2 linked regions of the Bombyx mori genome follow. The protein of the gene in region 2 purifies or fractionates together with the protein of the main gene of each other region. This does not show direct contact. Links are inferred from orthologs where the notes say so. Each region holds a gene or a part of one and is shown on either strand. Other genes may lie near its edges.

What was found.
Region 1: the proteins of chromatin assembly factor 1 subunit A (region 2) and chromatin assembly factor 1 subunit B purify together in Drosophila melanogaster (affinity purification with western blotting; 3 studies listed by BioGRID, with this or other methods). This does not show direct contact. The link is inferred for Bombyx mori from reciprocal best matches to the Drosophila melanogaster genes Caf1-180 and Caf1-105.

What each region holds. Positions count from the first base shown.
Region 1 is NC_085118.1:948,113-952,411, reverse strand, and holds the start of chromatin assembly factor 1 subunit B, read right to left. Parts: upstream 2,936-4,299; 5' UTR 2,764-2,935; coding exon 2,635-2,763; intron 2,499-2,634; coding exon 2,271-2,498; intron 1,785-2,270; coding exon 1,576-1,784; intron 1,225-1,575; coding exon 958-1,224; intron 584-957; coding exon 371-583; intron 1-370.
Region 2 is NC_085127.1:6,282,121-6,286,572, forward strand, and holds the start of chromatin assembly factor 1 subunit A, read right to left. Parts: upstream 2,809-4,452; 5' UTR 2,611-2,808; coding exon 1,609-2,610; intron 931-1,608; coding exon 723-930; intron 285-722; coding exon 1-284. Other genes in the region: uncharacterized protein LOC101735561, read left to right, coding at 3,673-3,700, 4,232-4,311.

The sequences.
Region 1 (4,299 bases), on a different chromosome or scaffold from region 2:
TAATCTCATGCTTGTTTATGCATTTGGTGACCACAAAACAGATCCATTAATGTGAAATGTTTTATAAATTTCAAGATTTTAAATTAACAAAATCGATTATAGTAGGTATCTAAGTTTCTCCAGTTGGTAAATTTGCGACTCCTTTTTGGCTAAGATCCATTCTCATGGGAGTTCACATGCCTCAATCGGTCGAGCAGAAATTTTCTTTAATTTTACAAAACTATATCACTAGTACATCATGGATGTAATGTTATGAACTTGATATGTTGAGCATTTAATAAAAAAAATATTATTGGTATCTATCTGTCAAGATTAAACCACTATTACTAATAATTTTTTGTTATTTTGTATTATCAAGATAGTTGGTTACCTAGTGTAATGTACATTGGCAACTATGGCTATGGGAGTCTTCTGTTGTGTGTCGTACACCAACACGGAGCGCCTGGTCCCCACGGCCAGCACGTGCCGGGCTCCGCTCGGGGACGGCAGGCGAGGCGCGGGCCCGGCGGCGCGGGGGCGGAACCCTATCGGCGACCAGCGGGTCACCAGGGCTGGCTCGCCGCATGGTACCACACACACTGGGCTGTAACGGACAGTTATATGAGTGCCTCTCATGCAACATGCTGCAAGTGAAGATGCAACCATGAGCCTTGGTTAAATAAATTTTTGCATTATAGATGAGTGGAAGCTATTAGCTGCTATTATTTATTTAAACTAGATAAAGAAATCTTGAACTGAAAGTCAACTGAGTTCTCCAATTGCAACATATCACATGCCATACAAATAAATCTGATATTTTCTATCAGCAGAATAAAACTGTTGAGCTTGAACATTTTTAAAACAACCTTATCATGCAATTGTGTGCAATTTCAAATCTGGAAACCGTATTGAAAGCAAAAAGTTAGCTTGTCACATCTGAGTCTATGGATTCTGAAAACAATGAATTAAAATACTCACATTTTCAAACAATATCTCGTATAGATATACACGGCATTGATTGGTTTTACATCAGGTTTTCCCTCTGGCTCCACTCTCCCTGCTGGAACTGCAATGTATAGGCCGTCCGGGCTGAACTGCAGTCGTCGGTAATATGTTTGGAGTGTGTCATCATGGTATAGCCGTTGTCTGGAGCCGTGGAGAGGATGGTCAGTGGGGAACGGGAGAGATGCTTTGCTGCTTCTTGATACAACCTTCTTGGTAGATACATCAAATGCTCGAAACACTCTGTTGATATGAACTATTTACATTACATTTTCAAGTCTTTTATAATATTGAATGAATAATCAATTAATCAAATTAGGATTCCCTCTACTATGAGAAACAAAAACTCATATGAACATATTAATATAGATTTAAACACCTAGATGCAAATTGCCCAAAGCAGGCATCAAGCCAACAATCCTGTCTAGCAGTCAAGGGTGCTAACTTTGTTATTCCAATCATCACCTTTTTGATATTTTCATCAGGTATAGAAGCTACTTTTTTACAACTAATTTGATATCATTAATATTTGTAACTACTTATGATGAGATTACTCTGTTAAATTATTGTTTTAAATTATTATTTTCAGCTTACCTGTCTGTACTCGTAGATGTTATGTACTGTCCTTTAGGATCCCAACAGACACCTTGCACAAACCCTTTGTGGTCACTAAGTATAGTAGTGTAACGAGCTCTGTGTATGTCCCAAACAATTAATTTGTTATCTACTGAGCCAGAAGCCAACTGTAAGCCGTCCATACTCCAGGATATGTCAAGGACATCTTCCATGTGCCCTCGAAGAGTCTGTTTTGTGGAATAATTCTTACCATTACTCTTTATAAATTTGAAATAATTATGCTATTCATGTAAACATGACAATTACTGCATATTAATTGTATTTTAATTCTGTTTTTGTTCAGTACTTTTGACTGACTGTAATTAGGTTAGCTTTTTAAAAGATGAAGAATCAGCCACCACATTTCAAAATAGCCACATGTTTAGGTAAAATGTGTACGTTTAAGATATTTGTTACAAAAATACTATTGCAAAATGAAAATCAGGGTTTCTGGGCTTTCTTTGGTTTAATGCATTTTTAATGACATTTTGAAAACAGAATACCTATAAGTTTTTAATAGCAAACCAAGAGTGAAATTTTGTAAAAAAAAAAGAAAGTGTATACTTGGTATTGGTTGGTATGTAACTGAAAAGAGATGAGGCTAAGAACAATTGGGCATTACGTGGAATATGTATAGCCAGATTATATCTAGTAGATAATGAAGAAAATCTCACCTTATAAACAACCCAAGTTTCTTTATATTGCTCCTCACCCTCAGTTGCCGGAGAAAGTTCTTCCAGTTTCTGCTTCCAAATGAATATGATGGACTCATCATCCCCAGAAGCCAATAACTGTCCATTAGGTGACCATCTCACTACATTCACAGCTTTCTGATGCCTTGTTAAATCAGCTGCTACTTCAAGATGAACTGAACCCGTCTCCGTGGTTGATAAATACCAGATCTAGTATTAAAAAAATATAGACTTTATATCCTACTTTAGTATTAAATTCAATTTTTTTTCAATAACATTAGTATAAATAATCGCTGATAAAAATATAAATGATTATTTGTTCGTTCTTATTAAAAGATAGTTTTACCAAAACGTGTGAATCTGTTCCACCGCTGGCGAGTCGTAACGGGTCATTCGGTTCCGCTTTGGGCTGAAAATCTACACTTAGAACTGGATCACGATTATGCCAGGATATTTCTGGTATCGCAAACTTCATTTTTTTCTAATATTTAAAATTTAATAGAAATGGTAAACGAAGTAATAATATAAATTTAAATCCAAATAAGATAAGATGTATTTCAATCAATTTCTACAATAATTGTTAGGAAGCTAGCTTATTTTTACTGTTTATAGTTATTTGGCGCCAAAACAAAAGTGTCAAATTGAAGTTTTACCTAGCGGTAGTCCCATTTTTTCAACTGGAAAAGCGAAGGTATCGTACCGTACACCCCAATATTCTGTAAAATCTGTTTTATGAAAAATTTAATGGAGCAAAATGAAATGAAGTTGATGAATTTTAGATATTATTATTAATCAATTAAAATGAAATTAAAACGAGATTGTACGGGATGAAATATAGTCTAAGTATTTGATTTTTTACTGAGACTTTTTCGTTGAGAGAAGTAACATAAATTGTTTTTAATCTACACGAAACTAGATGAATTGGAATTACACAAAACGAAGTAAGATGATGAAGGTGTTTAAAAGTTAAACGTATAAAGACCTTTCATGTAGGGTATATTTAATTAAATATTCTTATTCACTATGGTTTTTATGTTAATGTCACAATCAGTTTTATAAAGGCTTTTAGATAACTATCTATCTTTTAGGTTTATGGCGTTTCCTTTTAGATTTCGCCAATGTCAAGTGTATTTAATACTCTGCTTTCTATAGCGGGCACCGTGATTTTTTTTTTATGATAAAAAAAATCTTCTCTCCACATTCTGTCACTGTCATCTGTCTTTCTTCCTTTTCTTCTTCAACTGCCTCCAAGTAGACCTTTTCAGTCGTCATAAATTTGTAAGAGTACGCTAATGTCGAATAAAATGTTTTCAGGTTCATCCAAAAGGTCCAGTAAGCTGTCATAAAATTTCTACGATTTCCCTTAGAGGTTATTCTTAGAACTGGCCTTACTATTTGTAACCATCATAAGTTTATTAAAAAAGAATAGTTGTTGCCTAACAACAAGTAGTTAGTTGTGTTGTTTCATGTAAAAATAAAAAGTCAGTATATACATCCGAAGATTATATTTTATTTTTTAACACAATTACCACAGTTATATCATTAGCCTGCCCGCTAATTTTCTCTCTGCTTCTGTTCAGTGGGCTGCGATTCCGATCCGGTGGTAGATACAACAAAGCACCGCTCTTGCTCGGCCCACTGGTAGCAAATCCTTTCAGGTTCGGCTCCGTGAGATTACCTACTAAGCGTGCGTTAAATAACGCATTAGACTATCGCTGCCGACGATTATGTAAATAAAAAAGCCAGTGATGCCATTTAATTTATTATTAAGTGTCACTATAACAAGGCTGGGCTAAGCCAGATCTCGGAAATAAGTTAAATCAATAAAATTTAGTTGATTTAATATTTAACTAAACATTTAAATGTGTTGGACGGTTAAATTTGAGGGGACTTGGGTTATGTAGGTGAGGGGCTATTTAAAAAACACTCTGCTTCATGATTAATATAATTATAATGCAAATACTTTGAACACTGTTACACCATTATAATATTTTATTTTTATAAAACTCCT
Region 2 (4,452 bases):
TGCTAATCTCATGTCTAATTTTAAAGTAAAACTAGATAGCATATTATTTTTACTGATTGAACCAACTGTGGCTTGGTCTTTATCCGACTTTTGTTTTGGAACAAAAAAATTGACAAATGCTTCAACAGTCTTTTTCTTTTTGAGTTCTTGTTCTTGTTTTTCTAATTCTAAAGCCTCTTGTTTTTTTCTCTTCTCTTCCTCCTTTGCCTCTTTTTCCTTTCTTTTCTGTTCTTCTTTCTCTTCTTTTTCTTTCCTTTTCTGCTCCTCTTTTTCATCCCTTATTTCTGGAAGTTAATTATATAAATGAATTGCTGTTCGTTAGTCTCGCTAAAACTTGAGAATGGCTGGATCGATTTGGCTAATTTTGATTTTGAATTATTCGTGGAAGTCCAGAGAAGGTTTAAAAGGTGAATAAATATGAAAATGCTCAGAATTATATAAGAACAAACAATTTTGTTTTTCCTTTGATGTGTCCCCCGTGGGACAGATTCTTTTTGTTTGTTTTAAGTTTATTTTATACAAAAGTTTAGGTCTTTTATTTATCAATTGAGGTCTGTCACTACGAAGTCTGCTGGGTCAGCTAGTAATGAATAAAGATATAAATATACCTCATTTTTGTATAAACTTTACTAATGTTCAAAAACGAATAAGTAACTCAAAACATGGACTTTGACCCTTTGATGTGATTTGATAATGTGTCTTAGATTATATTTTATATTTACTTTTTTCAAGCTCTTTTTGTTTTTCTTTCTCTTCCTTTTCTTTTCGCCTCTGTTCCTCTTTTTCCTCCTTTTCCTTTTTTCTCATATCTTCTTTCTCTTGTTTTTGTCTGGCTCTCTCATCTTTCTCTTGCTGTCTTTTTTTCTCCCTTTCCTGTTTTTCTTTCTCTCTCTCTTCTTTCTTTTTGGCAGATTCTAATTTTTTCTGTAACTGTTATGGAAAAAGGATATAATAATGTTCTACACAGTATAAATGCAAGTCTAGATAATTTAAAGGATAAGACCTATGTACAGGTCTATTTGGGTATAACGTAAATTAAGTAAGTAAAAATAAACAAAATTCGCATGATTTTGTTCATTTCCAATTTATAAACATTTATATCACTGTATAACTGGATAATGTTCACTATTATATCTATTGGCCTCTGAAACCACTCAACATCGATTGAACCTTGCACTTGTCTACCCATCTAGAGAAATAAAAATAATATTAAATTATATACAATGATAATTAAATATTACTCTAGATGCAACAATATGTTTGTTAGTGTGTTTTTCTTTCACAACAAACATTTTTATGAGACATTTTCGGGTTTCAGTGACAGACTAAAAATAAATAAAAAATTATATTTCAGCTTTACATGAAATTTAGTCCTAAAGAAAAAACAAATACAATGAGACTATGTGTTGAAACAAATTATTAAGGCAAGCAGCAGAGAAACAGGGTATGGTCATAAGCTAAACTAATAATTATCAAGTAAGACAATTTTTTATCTTAATTGTAGAAGTTTCTCCCTCATCTATGACTCAATACATCAAGCTTATAATGCAGTAACATAATATTAAAAAGATATAAAGGTTTGTTATTTTAATTCAGTTTCAAACTTACTTGTTTAGGTGTTAAATTCTTTCTACCAGACATAGAGTCATTCAAAGATTCATCAGCCTGACTGTTTGTTACTGATGAACTCCTGCTATGTTTTGGTGATGTAGGATCTGAAGAGAGAGATTCATTCAAACTGGATACTGGAGACTTCTTAGCATCGTTACTTTGAGCTATTCTTGTTGCACTCCGGCTGCTCCTTTTTGGTGTTACATTATTCTCTTTTTGAATTTCAGCTGAAGCTTTTTCAGCAATCTTGTCTCTATCATCAGAAGCTTCTTCTAGTTCATCTGAAGATATACTTTCTCTATCTTTTTCATTCCTTTTTTTTAATGGATTCTCTTTTTGTGACTTTTGGTATTCAGCAGACTTTTCAATTTGTTCAATTTTATTAGATTTAGATTCTCTTGGAGATTTCCGGCCATTTGCTTTTGGCTCAATATCAGCTTCTAGTTTCATTTTAGTATCAAATTGATCACTAGAGTCCTCCAATATAACAATTTCGTTATCTGTAACTCTTGAAGTACTGTTACTTAAAATTGTCATGTCTACATTTTTTTCTGGACTATCCACTGGTTCATCAACATTCATTTTATCTTCATCGCTCTTTTCATCTGTGTCATTCTGATCATTTTTGGGTAGGTCTGTTGAATTCTTTTTTTTTATTTGCTTTCTTTTGGCACTGTTCAATTTTTGTTTTTTCTTCCAAGCAACATCAACCAATTTAACGTACGGGTTTACAATTTTGTCATCGCTTAACATTTTTTTCGAGTCTTTACTTTCATCGTCGCTTATTATGACCAGCTCTTGAACATCATTTTCTTTCGATATTTTTCCTATTTTTGTAACTGTTTCGGTATCAGAATTCGAAAGCTTTCTTTTCCTAGTCGGCGGCGACTTGGGTTTAGGGGAAATATCACTTATTAGTTTGAAAGGAAGACGAGCTTGTTTTAGCTTTTTTTTCGATGGAGTCACATCAGTTTCATCGAGGGGTTTGTTTGCTTTCATTTTATAAAGTTTATTAACCAACAAATCACAACATGAACCACTATAATTTGAATTTATTAACAATTTAATAGTTGTACTTATCTTTATAATATTTCAATAGTTTTAATTACACATTCTACTCAACTATGTATTCAACAACACGATGAACTTTTGACAGCTGATGAAATACGCGGGAGTTCTAAACACGTTCTAAAACCTGAATCACAGTTTTATTTTATCATAAACACTATGATGTAAGATCGGAAAGTTTTACTTTGTTATTCCTTAAGTTTGATATCCAAACCATGATTAAACTCTTTTACTCTCAGAGATAAGCTGGTTTTGTTCTGGTGATTTAAGGACGAAGATATAATATTCAATTTCTTAAATTAAGTATTACTTTCTGTTTTAGGTAAATACCTATAGTTTTTTAACGCACTTAGTGATTTTTTATTTTTAAAATTCGTCCGATCCACAGGCAAAGAAGTCATAGTCCATACAGCTAAATCTTTTACAAAAACCCTTACGTCTGTTGTAGGAAAAGTTAAATGCAACGGAATTTAGTGTTGGTCAAGTGCGGAATTCGTTTTATAGGTCAGGAAAGTTAGACATAATAATATGTATTCTGAATGGACCATTAGAGAATAAAAAAATTATAAGCTCGAAGCTCGTGTCTATGAAGTAATCTTTGTTTTTTTATTGCGTAGGTGAGTGGACGAGCTCACAGCCCACTTGGTGTTAAGTGGTTACTAGAGCCCATAGACATCTATAACGTAAATGCGCCACCCACCTAGAGATATAAATTCTAAAGTCTCAGTATAGTTACAACGTTTACCCCACCCTTCAACCGAAACGCATTACTGCTTCACGGCAGAAATAAGCGGGGTGGTGGTACCTACCCGTGCGGACTCACGAAAGGTCCTACCACCAGTAAAAAAGAAATCTCGTATTAAATATGTAGCTCTTTAGCAAAGGGCAAGCTCTGAATATTTCTATTACGGGAGTTCCGAAATTTAAACGTCATGTAAAAGTCAGTGAATAGGTAGGTACTAATTACGAGAAAGTAAAAATGAAAAATTTGAAATGCTCAACTCCGGACGTAATAGCGGAGGTAACGTTTAAAGACTTAGAGGATTAAATACCTAATATATCATTCATAATGATTGATTAATTTTTTTTTTTTTATTAAGAGACTAGCGCCAACTGCTGCCTCCGCGATGGAGTTTCAGGTTTTTTATAATTCATACATCAAAACAATTGAAATAAAAGTAGTAAATAATTGACGTATGATTTATATGATTAATTATTTATGTTTACTTTGATTGGCATCACCGCATAAACAAACTTTCATTAATTTTATAAATCTGGCATATAAACCAGTAAAAGTTTTGCCTGTAGATTGATTGATTTACAGTGTAAGATATGTCTAAGCCAAAGTGGGATTTCAGAGACATCTCTAAAGGGCTTAAAATTTTTCGTGATATCTTGTTAGGTCGAAAACACAATCTTCACGGACGATTTCCTCCTCTTATGTCCCCGAGGTCTGTACCTACGCCAGAAATACCTCGTGGCCCGGATAACCAGTATTCCAAGCAGTATTATTATAAACGAAGCGCAATAAATTCTGTGTTTCCACCAATAGTGGCACCTGTAGCGGAAGGTCCGCCCATGAACCAAGATCCAACAAAGAAAGCACAGCCCGGTGGGATCAAGCCAGATACGGTTCGATGAAGTTATAAATACGTATCGTAGTTACGTTGTAGCTTACTTTAGGAAACAGTAGGTATTTGCCCTTGTAAAATTTAATAGCAGTTTTTATACGTACTATCATTTTGTATACGGAGCATTTTATATTGATAAAAA